Linked DNA regions of Pelodiscus sinensis. The main gene of each other region encodes a partner of the protein of the gene in region 2 in a complex. Links are inferred from orthologs where the notes say so. Each region holds a gene or a part of one and is shown on either strand. Other genes may lie near its edges.

Region 1 (7,486 bases), on a different chromosome or scaffold from region 2:
ACCAAATTTATTAACACACACATGTTCCCGGCCGCTGGAGCAACCCCCCCTTCCATGCAGCATGTTCCATTCCCAGCCACTGGAGCAGACACCCCCCACTCCACTATGAGGCAGGGCCTGTTCCTGGTGCCAGCCACGAGAACAAACGTTTCCCCTCCCCACCTACGTGGAAGCCCTGGCCACCAGAGCAAGCTGCTCCCACCTCCCCCCGCCCTAGTGCTCCCTCATTATGGTGTCTCAGCTGGCCCTGCCCTCCAGAGCAGCTGCCTGTGCAGCTCTCCAGAACAGGTTGGCGGGGGAAGAATTTTTTTGTGTGCAGCCGCCCAGGCATGCACCTTAGTGGGAACTATGACCCTAGGTCACAACTCCTTCCTGTCCCAGGTCACATCCCAATCTCCTGCACCCCAGACCAATGCCCCAGGTCACAACTACCTCCTTCACCCAAACTCCCTCCCAGACCCCACTCTCCCTTCTGCACCCCAATCCCTTTCCCCAAACTCCCCTCTGCACCCAACTTCCATCCCAGATCCCGCATCTCTGTTGATATAGAAGAATGCAGTCCTTGACCACTTACCAAATTCTTGGAGTGGCCCCCTATCAAAAATTCTTGCCCATCCCACTGTACAGAGCAATGGAAAATTAATACTAACAGGCTGCGTCTAGACTGGTAAGTTTTTCTGCAAAAGCGGCCTTGCCAGCTATCTACACTGGCTGCTTGAATTTGCACAAGAACACTGACGATCTAATGTAAGATTGTCAGTGTTCTTGCGCAAATACTATGATGCTCCCGCTCAGGGATAAGCCCTCTTGCGCAAATGCTTTTGCACAAGAGGGCCAGTGTAGACAGATAAAAACTGTTTTGCACAAAAAGGCCCTATGGCGAAAGTGGCGATTGGGGCTTTCTTGCGCAAAACCATGTCTAGATTGGCACGGACGCTTTTCCGCAAAAAGTGCTTTTGCGCAAAAGTGTCTGTGCCAATCTAAATGCTCTTTTCCGCAAATGCTTTTAACGGAAAAACTTTTCCGTTAAAAGCATTTGCGGAAAATCATGCCAGTCTAGACATAGCCACAGTGTTTTCCTTGGGTGGTGTCAACTTTGGCTGATATCTCACTCCTGAAGGTAACAGGGACAGAGAGAGCACAGCTGCTGCTGGTGTCTCATTGCTACCCAGGCCCAGATACTGCTAGTCTGTGTGCTATGATACCTACTAAATCACTGAATGGCATGGGAGAGTGTTGTGCCATGGTGGGAGAAGTAAGGCAGCCCTCCCTGGGAGTCTTTGGCAGAGGATTGCAGAGTACCTCCATGAAAGCTTTACTGAGATCTTTATGGAAGATTCACAGGATATCCCATTGCACATAAACACCGCACTGCTAACTCTACTTTTCTGGTTTGTTTCACTACTACTTCTAGCAGAAATGGAAAAAAGAGTAAATCAACAGCAAACTACATACTTATAAGAAGTTCTTTCCCCTGCATTAGGCTCACTTGCATTTGAGTATCAGGAGTAGCTGGATTGCAATGGAGTCAAAAACACATCCTGACTTGCCACACAGATGGATTGCATGTAGTCAGTCCCCCATGCTTCTCCTCGCTGTTCATAGCAGGGGCTGTGTCTGGGACTCCTCTAAAGTATCCATGAGACTTGGAGGATGGCATGCAGCTTTTTATAAAAGAATCAGGTAGGTAGCTCTGCATCAGATTAATTATTGGCCTCCCTTGCCTTCTAGGGTCATGAAATATGGGATGACTTGGGGCGTGGGTGTGGGTGTAGAATCAAATTAGTGAGGGCCAAACAGGGCTAAAAGGATGGATAGGAACGTGGGGCCAGGAGAGGTCACTGGATAGGGGCTGGGAGAGTTGATAACTGGACTCAAGGAAATTGGAGGGGGATTAAAAAAGACCTGAGGGTGCTGGATCACAAGTGGAGGAGAATGAGGGGGCTTTGGAGATCTAGGGAAGCCCTGTCCTTCTGGGTGGGGAGCTCAGATCAGGCATGTTAGGAGCCACGTGTCAAGAACACACAGCTGAAATGGGGATGAAGAGTTGAGAGCAGACATGCTTAATGCATATCATAGAGACTCAAGCTTTCGGGAATGGGGATGGTACACTCATTGAGATGAAGGGAAAAATTCACACATCTTAGAGCTGTTGTTTCAAGATGTATTCATCCCTATGGGCTGTTCTGATTCAGCAGACACTGGCTACATCTAGACAGCACTGTTAAATCAGAAAAAGATACACAATTTGAGATTTCTTTCACTGGTCCTGTTAGCAACTACATGCTCTAAATATTCAATATTATCATTGTCCCCATTCCAGGATACCATTTACCATACCATTTACCTTCCCCCACCCCCCCATCCCCCTTCTGTTCTGAAATTAGATTTGTCCTTTTCATAGGTGTTCATTTTTTTGATTGTATCCTTTGGTATATATGGTTGTGACAATTTTCTTCCACTATTTGATCTGAGGAAGTGGGTCTGGCCCACGAAAGCTCATCATCTAATAAACCATCTTGTTAGTCTTTAAAGTGCTACATAGTCCTGTATTTTGTTTCAGCTACACCAGACTAACACTGCTACATTTCTATCATTATTATTATTTGTGTAACTGTAGAACTGAACAGGACTAGTCATGGTCCAGGACCCACTCCACTGTATATGATGGGGGTGGGGGGAAGCAGATTTATTGGGTTCCTCAATAAAGTGGGGAGAATAACTCCATGCTCCTGGACGGGGAAGGGCCTCAGGCAAAAGGGGCAGAGCTGGAGGCATCAGCACCGTCCAGAGCACACTGTGCTCGCCTCTCCACCCCCTGCCAGTGCTGAGAGCTGCCTGGAGCATGCTGTTTAGCGCTCCAGCAATCATTTAAAGGACCTGGGGCTCCAGCCACTATTGCTTCTGTGGTAGTGGCTGACAGCAGTGGTCCCCTTTGAATTGCCAGGCTCAGAACAGCTGCCCCCTTTACCCTCATCTGTCAGCGGGCCTGACTGTACAAACAAAGAGCAAAAACATAGACTCTGGCTCAAGGATCTTATAGACTAAATCAGTGATGGGCAACCTGGGCTAGTAGGTGGGCTGCATGAGAGACCCTCCATCTCAGTAGGCTGAAAGATTGTTGTAACCAAAATGGATTCTCGGGATAGGGTAGTTTTGCTAACAGTGCTTGCAGGGTGGAAGGTTTTGCAGGGCCCTGGGCAACACAATTTTACGCCCCCCCCCCGCTTTGACACAGCGCATGCGCCATAGCGCATGTGTGGGGCCTCTGGAAGCACGGGGCCCGGGACAGCCACCCCGCTCGCCCTGCCCTATATCTGTCGCTGAGTGCTTGCTCACCTATAATTTGTGGGGTGTGCAGATTGCTGATTGCAGTGGTTTGAATGTAGAGGGAATACATGGCTCTCACAGTCAACGTTGTGTGCAATCAGAACGTACTTCTTGCGCCCTTACTATACGTGCAAAACGCTTTAGTAATACCTGTAGGAAAAAAATTTATGCAGACAGAAGCCAGCAGAATCAGGCAACACTATGCATAAGTCATTCATAGAACTCTGATGGGCTGCATGCGGCTTGCAGACTGCCCACCACTAGCCTAAATGTAAGATGAAAGACATAAAAATTCATATCCCTTTCTTGTTATCCTCTGTAAAGTAACCATGAAAAGCTTTGTTAATGTCTTTTAAAATCTTGCTTAGCTCTTAGCATCGATATTTTTGGGGAATTAATTAAGCCTTACAGAAAAATGTAAGTCCCTTTACTAGATTTTTTTTTTTAAATTTACCACCACTCACTCTCATCCACTGTTCCTATGCTCTATGGAGACAGATGCCGGAGACAAGCCGGGTTCGAGCACAGATCAGGGGCTGCAGGTTAGAATACACACTGATGCAAAAGGCGATGCTACCAATGCATCTCGGCCAGGGAGCGCCCTGCAGCCTCCGCCTCCCCACGACTACAAGGCTGAATCGCCGCCCGTGTCCCGGGGAGAAGCTCTCGGATGCCCCGCAAGCCCCATCTCGGAGCACACACGCAGCGGACATGAGCCCCTGGCTGCAGCACCAGGCACAGGCACTAAGCGTCCAGGACCTTCCCTTCCGCCTCGCTAGGTCTGAGCGGGAGCGCGCAGGTGACCTCTTCGCTACTTCCGCCTCAGTAGGTGTCATGGCGGCAGGGCGAGCCTCCCACGTGACTTCAGGCGGGCGGAGCTCGGTCCCACAAGCTCTCGCGCAGCCTCGCTTCCCCCCGCCCGCGTCCCCCTCTCGCCCTGGCCGCTCGCGCAGCTGCTCGGCTCTTGCTATATAAAGGGGCGAAGCGGGCAGAGCGGGCGGCTGGCGGCGGCGGCTGCAGCCCGAGGGCCGGCGAAGGAGGCCGGGCCAGGCCGCGGGGCTCCCCGTGCGCCGGGGCGGGACGCGCGGGGTCGGGGGGACGCGCCGGGCAGGTTTATTGTTTTAGGGGCGACTCCGCCGCGGTGGGGTGTCCCGGGGGGCTCGGGACATGGCGAGCTCGTCTAACACAAACCCCGTGGTAAGGACCGGGACGGGGAGGGAGCGGGGGGGCTCGGGCGACAGGCGGGCCTCAGAGCCCCCCGCCATCCCTGGCCGGCCCCGCCGCGGGAACGGCCGGCCTGAGCGGGGCAGCGCCCCCCAACCAGGAACCAACTTCTGCCGCCGCTGCCGGGGAGCGGCGCCGGGACCCGCCAGAGCCGGCGGGGTGGGACGGGAGCGGCGGCGGCGGCGGGCAGCAGCCTGTCTCCCAGCCAGGAGCGCCGAGGGGGGAGCCGAGTGTCTCCGTCGCCTGCACCGCCACAAGGCTGGGGGGCGGCTGGGGAGGGGGCGAGCGGCTTCCCCTGGGGGGAGAGGCTACCGGGGAAGCCAGGCGCTGCCTCCTGTGCCGGGGGAGGGGGCGGGCGGGTGGCGTATGTGGAGGCGAACTCAGCCTGGCGCTGCTGGAGCCATTTTATGTAGCTTTATAAGAAGGAGGCAATGGTTGAAAAGCACTTGTCCCAGCCCTGCAGACTCGGCTGACGGAGGAGAAACCCCCCTCCAGTCTCTTCCCCGTGGCAAGGAAGTAATTAAAAAAAACCCGAACAACTCACCCCTTCCTCCCCCTTGTGCTTTCTGCACTCTCGGCGGTGGCTTGTTTTACTTGTATTCACATAGATGTGCAATAAGCAGTCACATAAATCTTTGTAGCCGCCAAGCCCCACCGATCGCTTCTTTCCCTTCCCTCTGACAAGAATAAACCCATCCACAAGCCTACCCCCGAAAAGCTGCCGACAAACCCCAGTCCGGGCGGTTACGGTGCAGGCTTGGCCCCCTTGTTTGTGTTTCGCTGTGAGATCCATCATGGCTTCCCCTGCCTTTCTGTCTCCCTGCTCCTTGTGTTCCTCCTCCCTGTGACTGCCCTGTTTATATAGAGCCATTGCCGCTCTCTAATATAGACTCTGCCAGGATGGGAAGGTGCTTTCCAGCCCCACGTCACCGCCTCTCCATTTAAACACCACATCAGCCTTTAAATAGGGAGAGAGCTGCTGGGAGGTGCATGCACCAGAGGCAGAGACTGAGAGAGACACAGACACGCTCTTTTTGTCACTCAGTTCCTGCTTTTTCTGCTTAGCTATTAGTCCCTTCCGTATTAGTCTGCAGTTCGTAATCCCAATTGTTGAAGCTGTGGAATTTTAAAGTAGCAGTTGCTTATCACTCTGTTTATTTAGGTTGATGATTGATCTTTTCTAAATTAGGCAGTATTCTTTCCTTTTTGTGTGTTGTTTAGTGGAGGAGCACCAATCCTCACCCTATTTAGAAAGTAATCTGGAGTCCTTAGCTATTAAACAATGCAACAAATAGTGCCTAGTATATAAATGTCTGCCCTCTTACATGTCTTTTCTGCTGTGGTAAAGCTGTAGTTGAAATAAAATTATTCTTATCTAGTATTTTATAGAGAGAACTGAGGCTAGCTATTTAATGATACTTAGCAAAAGTTTACTTAAGGGTGAAGTTTTACATGTTTAAATGTTGGCAACATATTGTAGTCTAATGTAGTTTAAAATATCTGTTCCAGATAATAAAGTTGAAGGTTGTGCAGACATGTTATTACTCTCCAGGAAGAGCTAGAATTTGTTAAAAGTTTTCATAATTTTTGTGGACATAACATAATATCAATTGTGCAAATATTTTATTGCATCAGATTTTAAATACCAGGTAGCCCTCTATAGCATAAGAGCCACGCTTATGTATGTGAAAAAGGATGTCTGTTGCCTTTGTATTTTCTTTTGGTTTCAGTCAGTGAAATTAGTCAGCTATTCTGTACATGGCAATTTATTATATGTCCAGTAAGTGGCATGTAGTGAGAATAAATGTCAGCAGACATTCAAAGAGCATAGACTGTAATCACATTGATAGTTTCAGGGTTTATTATTTTGTAACAAAGACCTACTTAGGCTATGTAGTACTAGCAGATGTACCTGGCATTGCTTGGTCTTTAGTAATTTTTTAAATTAAAAAAAAGTACATGCTTTACTTAAATGACAGGGCTCAGGGCAGGAGGTTGAGTGTGTGGGGTGCTTGGTTCAGGAGTTAGGGCAGGGAGCTGTGAGATGTGTGGCGGGCTTAGGGCAGAGGCTCAGGGTAGGGATGTAAAATCCTCTTTAATTGGCTAACCAGCTAAACATATTGTTTAATCGATTAAAAGGGGGAGGATGGGTGTGCTCCCCCTTCCCACTGCTGGGGGAGAGAGAGGGGACACCCCTCCCTCCTTCCCTCTGCTGCAGCCTGGCCGGTCCCTGCCTGCAGGGTACCCTGCGGGGCTGCGGACAAAGGGTGCTCTGACTGGGACAATGGAGCAGCTCTTCCTTGTGACCGGGTCAGGGCACCTCAGAGACAGGGACTGCTCTGAGCATCCCAGTCACAGCAGCCCCTGCCTGTCCATAGCAGGCCCCCTGTGAGGCTGGAGCAGCCCCTACCTGCAGCAGATGGAGAGCTGCTTCAGCCTCATCTGTTCATCTTAACCCACAAGGAGTATTGGTTAAACCTTCGTATCCCTAGATCAGGATATGGGGTGGGGTGCCTCAGGATAGTGGATGGGGTGCAGGAGTCAGGGCAGGGGACTGGTTGGGGAGCTTAGGTTGCCGGGTTCTGGAGTGAGGGCAGAATGTGGGGGCTCAGGGCAAAGGGTTGGGTGTAGGGGAGTCAGGGCAGGTGTTCAAGTGTGGGGGGGCTGGAGGCAGGGGATGGGGGGACTCGGAGTAGGTGAGGGGGAAGGAGTGAAGATGGGACTCGAGGTAGGGGTGCCTCGCCTCTGAGGCTTTGCTCTGGCGCTGGACCGCTTTGCTCCCGGTGCCCCTGGTTTGCTGGAGACGGTCCCCAGCAGACCAGGGGCACCGCGAGCAAACCCGCAAAGCCTCAGAAGCGCAGGACCCCCCGCTGCTGCTGGAATATGAATTCACCAACTTCCTTTTATATACAGGCAGTCCCCGACTTACACG
Region 2 (7,273 bases):
GCAGAAGGTACACAGTGCAGTGTAGTAAGCCATTCCTTCAGGCAACATTGAGCAATGTCAAACTACAGCTTCAGAGACTTAAACAAATTGGTCAGATCTACAGTTGTGTAGAACTAAGTTTGTTAGCTTTTTAATCTTCTAGTTCTTTAAACTATTATCATGAATATAAAAAAGTATATATTGTGTGGTTGAATGCAAATCCATATGGTGTTTTTTGGATTAGCAAAGGTGTTACTGCCAATACCATTTCTTACCCCCTGGGAACTTCCTATCTTGTATTCATGACAAGTATGCAGTGTCAAATCATGTTAAAAAAAAAAAAAAAAAAAAAAAAAAACCCAAAGCTTTTCTATCCCCTCTCCAAAAGCCAAAAGTGATGTTTCATAGATTAGTACTGTTACTCACCCTTATCTACCAGAAAGCTATTGCTAAATAGACTAAACCAGGTACTAGTAAAAGTGAGATCCAGCAATGCCCATTTTTTAAGATAGATTTGGATGCTTGTTGTTGTTGCTTTGAGGTGCAAAATTCATTCCAGCATTAAAATGAAAAGCTTTGAACTCTACACAGTCTTATTGACATCACTAACATAATGCAAAATTTGGTGACTAAATTTCTTTCCTATGATTTACTCCTTATAACCAAGTTTGAGTTGGGGGGAATTTAAGGAAAGCCATGAAGTAAAGTAGATTTGTAATCTGAACTGCTTGTCGTGCCATAGCAAACAACTTCTCAGAGGTTGTTGGGGGAAGTAGTCCTTTTAATTTAAGAGCCAAATTTCACCCCCTAGAAACATGGGACTTACACTGCCCTAAGGGGAGAGCCATGAATGTACACTGGAGGGAGCAGAATTTTCCTACCCAAGATAAGATTTCTAAGTCAAACTCTGGATCAGGAACAAAGAGTACTCTGTTTGGTTTGTGTGTTAAATTTTCTCTGACATTACTTCAGTATCTTTTTTGGATCATACTTTACGTTCTACCATTAGCAGTACCTTGGCAAAAATTGGTAGCAACAAAAGGTGTAGTTCAGTTGAGCTCTCATGTACTGAAAGGACAAAATTCAGTGAGCTCATTTTGACTAGCTCTTTTAAAAGGAGAGAAAAGACTGGATAAAAATTAGTGAATTTTTGACCTGATCACTCAGTCATGTTGGTGGAACTCCTGCTAGTAAGGATTGCAAGACCAGACTTCTTGTGTGGAGAAGAGAAGAAAAAAATGTGGGTTTATACTGAATGTAACATGGGGAATATTTCAGAAAGTTTGGCATCTTTTTTCCCTGTAATAGATCTTCTCTTCCTCCATCCCCTGAGAATATAAACGTGGATATAAAAACAAGCATTACATTTTTTTCCTGTCAGTTTTACAATAGTTAGCTTACTACTGGTCTAAATCTGTCATTCATTTTAAAATGTAAATGATTTATTAAAACTTAATGTCTGCCATCTCAGATGTCACACAGTTCATTTAATGGAATATCATTGTAAATAAATGTTGGAGACTTAGATAAATTTGAAAGTAGGCTTTTTAATTTTCACAATGCTATGAATAAATGTGTAAATTTGCCCTTTTAATCTAATGTACATTTTTTATGTAGCTGTTAAATTCTCTATATTTAATCTATCAGTTTCTCTCTGTAAATGTTTTTACTCTCAGTTGAATGCTGGGCACAGTTTGTAATGTATGTACACAAAGGTGTTTTTTTCTATCAATGTTGACTTTTTTGCACATTTTTTGAAAAAGTTTAATTAGTACACTGATTTAATACTCTGACCAATTGATGGGTGTATGAGAATCACGTATGTGTGCAATGTACTACTGTCTGGATGTGTTTTTTATTCCTTTTGAGATGTTGCTATCAGTAACTGCACTGCTGCTGTTGCTGCTTTAAATGGAATATCTTATGTAAAAGTGTATTAGCCTATGGTTATATCTTGGTTGAGGAACTCAGGAGTTGAGCATTACTTACTAGTTCCATAATGTATCTAGCAACTTTCCAAACTTTAAAGTGTACTTGTAATTCTGCGTATGAACTGAATGTGTGTGTGCGTACACATAAATATGTTCCAGCAGTCTTATTCCACAGTTTAATTTCTACATTTTTATGAACTTGTTTTTAAGGGTACTATGTTTAGTTAGAATAATTAAATATATAAAAGCTTTGAGAGATAATTTACTAGATAAATATATTTTCAGCTGGCTGATGTTCAGAAAATATTTTTTTAATTTTGTTTTTAATCATTCAAAATGTATTTGTATTTCCAAAATTGGACATGAATTGTACTTAGAAGTATATTAAAGCACTCTGGAGGGACAACAGTGTGATTTCTCTAAGAATTTTGTTAAAAAAACAAACCCAAAATGCTTAGTGTCAGTGATACAGAGAAAATAACTGTTGTGAAAAGGGGAAAGCAATCTTTGACTTCTCAAAGCTACTTGAAAAAATGTGTGAAAACAAAATGAACCTTGGAAAAGTCAGATTTTTTCCATCTCTTGTCCTTTCTGTTGCATGTAATGTTAATGCTTCTCTTTCTTTACCCTTTTCCCTTTCCAGTTTTCTGGTATTGGAAAAGATAAGCATGTTACTATATCGCTGATTGACTGGCACATAAGAAGTTCAGAACATGCTTTAAAAATGTGGCTTACTCCTTTCAAGAATACCAGTCAAACTTTTGACTTCCAATTTGTTTAACATTTTTGTGGCTTAAAAAATAAAAATCCTGTATGATGTTTAAAGTGATACCAAGTAAAAATTCTCATGCTAGGTACACAGTGCACTGCTGAATGTCTCTAATTCCATAGTTTAGGAAAAGAGCCAGTATACTCTGTTAGACACAGGACCTACTAATTGCCTGGTACGTGTGGTTTCTTCCACTTTTCATGCACATTTTGACTTTGTTACATTCTCAAAATTGTGCTTGTAAAAATGTATAAACTTTTTTGATTTTTTTTTTTTACTTTTGTATGTATTTACCTGTTTTTTTTTCTTGCTGGTAAATGGCTTTTATTTTGTTTGGGGTTTTTTTTGTATCTGATGTTAAAAGAAGCCATGTTTATATTTTGTGTTTGATCAATGACTTTGTTTATATGAAATTTGTATATTACTGGTACACATCTTTGTTTAGGTTGATCATGCATGAGAACCTGCAAGAATTAGCACAATGAAAGATTGCTTTTTCTTCCAAATTTTTATTCATTTTTGAAAGGTTATGGTGCAGAGGTTTACAGGATGTAACCTTATGAACTATGGAACAACTATAGATAATGGCACTTTGAGTGTTAATAAAATATTTATTTCCAGTTTATATTTCTCTTGATTTGTCTCCAAGACAGCAAATATATGTATTCACATATTACATTTGCTTGCAACACTAGACAAGTAACATATCTTCTAAGTAAAGCAAAATATAACATGCAAGTAATGGTACCAAAAGCATCTGTCTACACCCAAGCTAGAAAGTTTAAATCTACAACAGTCCTCTTTTATAGATGTGAAAAACCCTCCCTCATGCTGTAAAACAAATGCCTCTGATTTTTTGTTACACAAAAATTCACCCTGCCCCCCTGCTCTTGTGCAAGATTTACAGTAGGGCAGCAGAAGACAGGGCTTCTTGTGCAAGAGCTATGCTCTTTTCGGACAAGTGTAAGCCTTCTTGCCTAAGAGGGCAGTGTGGACGTATGGCAAGGGTTTCTTCTGCAAGAAAGCCCTACAGCTAAAATAGCTGTCAGAGCTTTCTTGCACAAGAGCTCGTCCACACTGCCATGTGCAAAGCTAGACCTGTTCTTGTGCAAGAACCTACCAGTGTAGATGCAGCTGAAGTGTTAAAATACCTGTTTTTATGACTTAAATCGAAGAACCATGGCCCTGATTGGGCAATTTTTTATGCATAGTCACACTACTAGCTGTGTAGGAAGCTCCGCTGAAATGGGCGGGGCTGCAGCAACCTGCCCCTGGCTCCAGCGGCGGGATTAGCATCTGCTACCCGCATTGGACGTTTCTGATTGGACCCATCGTTATTGCGAAAACGCGGAGGGGCGGGACCCGCTCCCCCAGGTGTTTATGACGTGGGAAGGGGGGGCGGGGCCTACCCCCTAGGTGTCTATGACGAGGGGCGGGGCCCACTCCCCCGGGTGTCTGTGACGGGGGAAGGGGCGGGGCTCGGCCGAGCTGGGAGGGGCGGGGCGCCAAGGGGGCCGGTCGCGCGCTGGCCGTTAGAGCGCGGGAACGGCGGCGGCGCGCGCCTGAGCCCGCCCGCCGCGGCGCTGGAGCTGGCCCCTCCCCCCCCCCGCGGTGGCCGTTGGCCCGGCCGGCGGGCGGGGCCCCGCTCCGCGCAGGTGGAGTGTCAGGCCGGTACCGCCGCTGCGATTGGGCGGGTGACGAGGGAGGGCTACACGGGATGGGCGTTGCTAGGTGACAAGCTGGGCGGGTCCCCGTGCCGGAAGTGACGCGCAGGGCAGGCGCCGGGCCCAGCGGTGGTCGCGCGGCTGGGCAGTGACGGGCCCGGGACGATGGGCAAGCGCGAGCGAGGTGAGAACCCCCCCCCCCCCCGGGGCGCCGGGCCGAGCGGCGGTACCTGGACCCCCCCCCCCAGCGGCCTGGGCCTCCGGACCTGAGCCTGTCGGGGGGTGGGGGTGTGTCGGGTGTGGGGGGGGGTGTCTGGGGTGTGTGTCGGGTGGGGGTGTGTCGGGTGGGGGGGGGGTGTCTGGGGTGTGTGTCGGGTGGGGGTGTGTCGGGGTGTGGGGGGGGTGTCGGGGTGTGTGTCGGGTGGGGGTGTGTCGGGTGTGGGGGGGGTGTCGGGGTGTGTGTCGGGTGGGGGTGTGTCGGGTGTGGGGGGGTGTCTGGGGTGTGTGTCGGGTGGGGGTGTGTCGGGGTGTGGGGGGGGTGTCGGGGTGTGTGTCGGGTGGGGGTGTGTCGGGTGTGGGGGGGGTGTCGGGGTGTGTGTCGGGTGGGGGTGTGTCGGGTGTGGGGGGGGTGTCGGGGTGTGTGTCGGGTGGGGGTGTGTCGGGTGTGGGGGGGGTGTCGGGGTGTGTGTCGGGTGGGGGTGTGTCGGGTGTGGGGGGGGTGTCTGGGGTGTGTGTCGGGTGGGGGTGTGTCGGGTGTGGGGGGGGTGTCGGGGTGTGTGTCGGGTGGGGGTGTGTCGGGTGTGGGGGGGGTGTCGGGGTGTGTGTCGGGTGGGGGTGTGTCGGGTGTCGGGGTGTGTGTCGGGTGGGGGTGTGTCGGGTGTGGGGGGGGTGTCGGGGTGTGTGTCGGGTGGGGGTGTGTCGGGTGTGGGGGGGGTGTCGGGGTGTGTGTCGGGTGGGGGTGTGTCGGGTGTGGGGGGGGTGTCGGGGTGTGTGTCGGGTGGGGGTGTGTCGGGTGTGGGGGGGTGTCGGGGTGGGTGTCGGGTGGGGGTGTGTCGGGTGTGGGGGGGGTGTCGGGGTGTGTGTCGGGTGGGGGTGTGTCGGGTGTCGGGGTGGGTGTGTCGGGTGTGGGGGGTGTGTGTCAGGGTGTGTGGGGGGGTGTGGGTGGGTGTCGGCGGGGGTGGGGGTGGATGTGGGTGTCTGGGGTGTGTGTGGGTGGGTGCGTGTGTCTGGGGGCGCCTCTGTGCGTTTCTGTGCATGCGCCTGCCTCTGGGTGCCTGTAGCTTTCTTCGCTAGGTCAGTATCCGAGGAGGAGCCCTGCTCCTGGATCAGCAGAAGCGGCGAGGAGTCCTGTGGCACCTTATAGACTAACCGCAGTGTTGGAGCATAAGCTTTCGTGTGCAAAGACTCACTTCGTCAGATGCATGCAGTGGAAATTCCCAGAGGCAGGTATAAACATGCAGGCCAGAATCAGGCTGGAGATGACGAGGTGGATCCAATCAGGGAGGATGAGGCCCGCTTCTAGTAACTGATGTGGAGGTGTGAATACCAAGGCTGTGTCCGGACTCAGGGTTTTTTTTTTTTTTAAAAGTAGCCTTTTTTCGAAAAAACTTCACCTGCGTCTAGACTGCAGCTGCGTTCTTTCGAAATTAAATCGAAAGAACGCGACTTTTCTTTCGACAGCGGTAAACCTAATTCCACGAGGAAGAACGCCTTTTTTCGAAAGTGCTCTTTCGAAAAAAGGCGTTCTTGAAAGCAAACAGGGCTTTTTAGAAAGAGAGCATCCAGACTCACTCGCTGTTGTCTTTCGAAAAAGCGGCTTGCTTTTTCGAAAGTTCCGCGTGCAGTCTAGACGCTCTCTTTCAACAGAGGCTTTTTCGAAAGTATCTTTCGAAAAAAGCCTCTTTCGAAAGAGGCTTGCAGTCTAGACATAGCCCAAGAGAGGAGAAGCTGCTTTTGATAGGATTAGGATGACAAAAGCAGCTTCTCCTCTCTTGGTATTCACACCTCCAGATCAGCAACTAGAAGTGGGCCTCATCCTCCCTCATTGGATCCACCTCTTCTGGCCTGCATATTTATACCTGCCTCTGGGAATTTCCACTGCATGCATATGACCAAGTGGGTCTTGCCCATGAACACTTAGGCTCCAACACTTCGGTTAGTAGATAAGGTGCCACAGGACTCCTTGCCACTTTTGATAAGATAAGGAGTCTTGTGGATAAGGGAGAAGCAGTGGATGTGGTATACCTAGACTTTAGTAAGGCGTTTGATACGGTCTCACATGATATTCTTATCAACTAGGTAAATACAACTTAGATGGGGTTACTATAAGGTGGGTTCATAACTGGCTGGATAACCGTACTCAGAGAATAGTTATTAATGGTTCACAATCCTGCTGGAAAGGTATAACAAGTGGGGTTCCCCAGCAGTCTGTTCTGGGACCAGCTCTGTTCAATATCTTCATCAACAATTTAGATATTGGCATAGAAAGTACGCTTATTAAGTTTGCAGATGATACTTAGCTGGGAGGGGTTGCAACTAATCTGGAGGATGTGGTCATAATTCAAAATGATCTAGACAAATTGGAGAAATGGTCTGAGGTAAACAGGATGAAGTTTAATAAAGACAAATGCAAAGTGCTTCACTTAGAAAGGAACAATCCGTTTCACACATACAGAATGGGAAGCGACTGTCTAGGAAGGTGTACAGCAGAAAGGGATCTAGGGTTCTAGTGGACCACTAGTTGAATGAGAGTCAGCAGTGTGATGCTGTTGCAAAAAAAGCCGACATGATTCTGGGATGCATGAACAGGTGTGTTGTGAGCAAGACATGAGAAGTTATTCTTCCGCTCTACTCTGAGCTTGTAGGTAGGCCTCAGTTGGAGTATTGTGTCCAGTTCTGGGCACTGCATTTCAAGAAAGATGTGGAGAAAT

Evidence for each region. Proteins that work in one complex are often made in the same cells at the same time.
Region 1: ERCC3 (region 2) and GTF2A1 share a complex: the UniProt entries of both Homo sapiens proteins name them as parts of the TBP-based Pol II pre-initiation complex. The link is inferred for Pelodiscus sinensis from reciprocal best matches to the Homo sapiens genes ERCC3 and GTF2A1.

Annotation. Positions count from the first base shown.
Region 1 is NC_134714.1:38,763,706-38,771,191, forward strand, and holds the start of GTF2A1 (transcription initiation factor IIA subunit 1), read left to right. Parts: upstream 1-4,387; 5' UTR 4,388-4,497; coding exon 4,498-4,527; intron 4,528-5,098; exon of another isoform or gene 5,099-5,577; intron 5,578-7,486. UniProt on the Homo sapiens protein: TFIIA is a component of the transcription machinery of RNA polymerase II and plays an important role in transcriptional activation. TFIIA in a complex with TBP mediates transcriptional activity.
Region 2 is NC_134717.1:3,276,997-3,284,269, forward strand, and holds the start of ERCC3 (general transcription and DNA repair factor IIH helicase/translocase subunit XPB), read left to right. Parts: upstream 1-4,212; 5' UTR 4,213-4,508; coding exon 4,509-4,527; intron 4,528-7,273. UniProt on the Homo sapiens protein: ATP-dependent 3'-5' DNA helicase/translocase. Binds dsDNA rather than ssDNA, unzipping it in a translocase rather than classical helicase activity. Component of the general transcription and DNA repair factor IIH (TFIIH) core complex.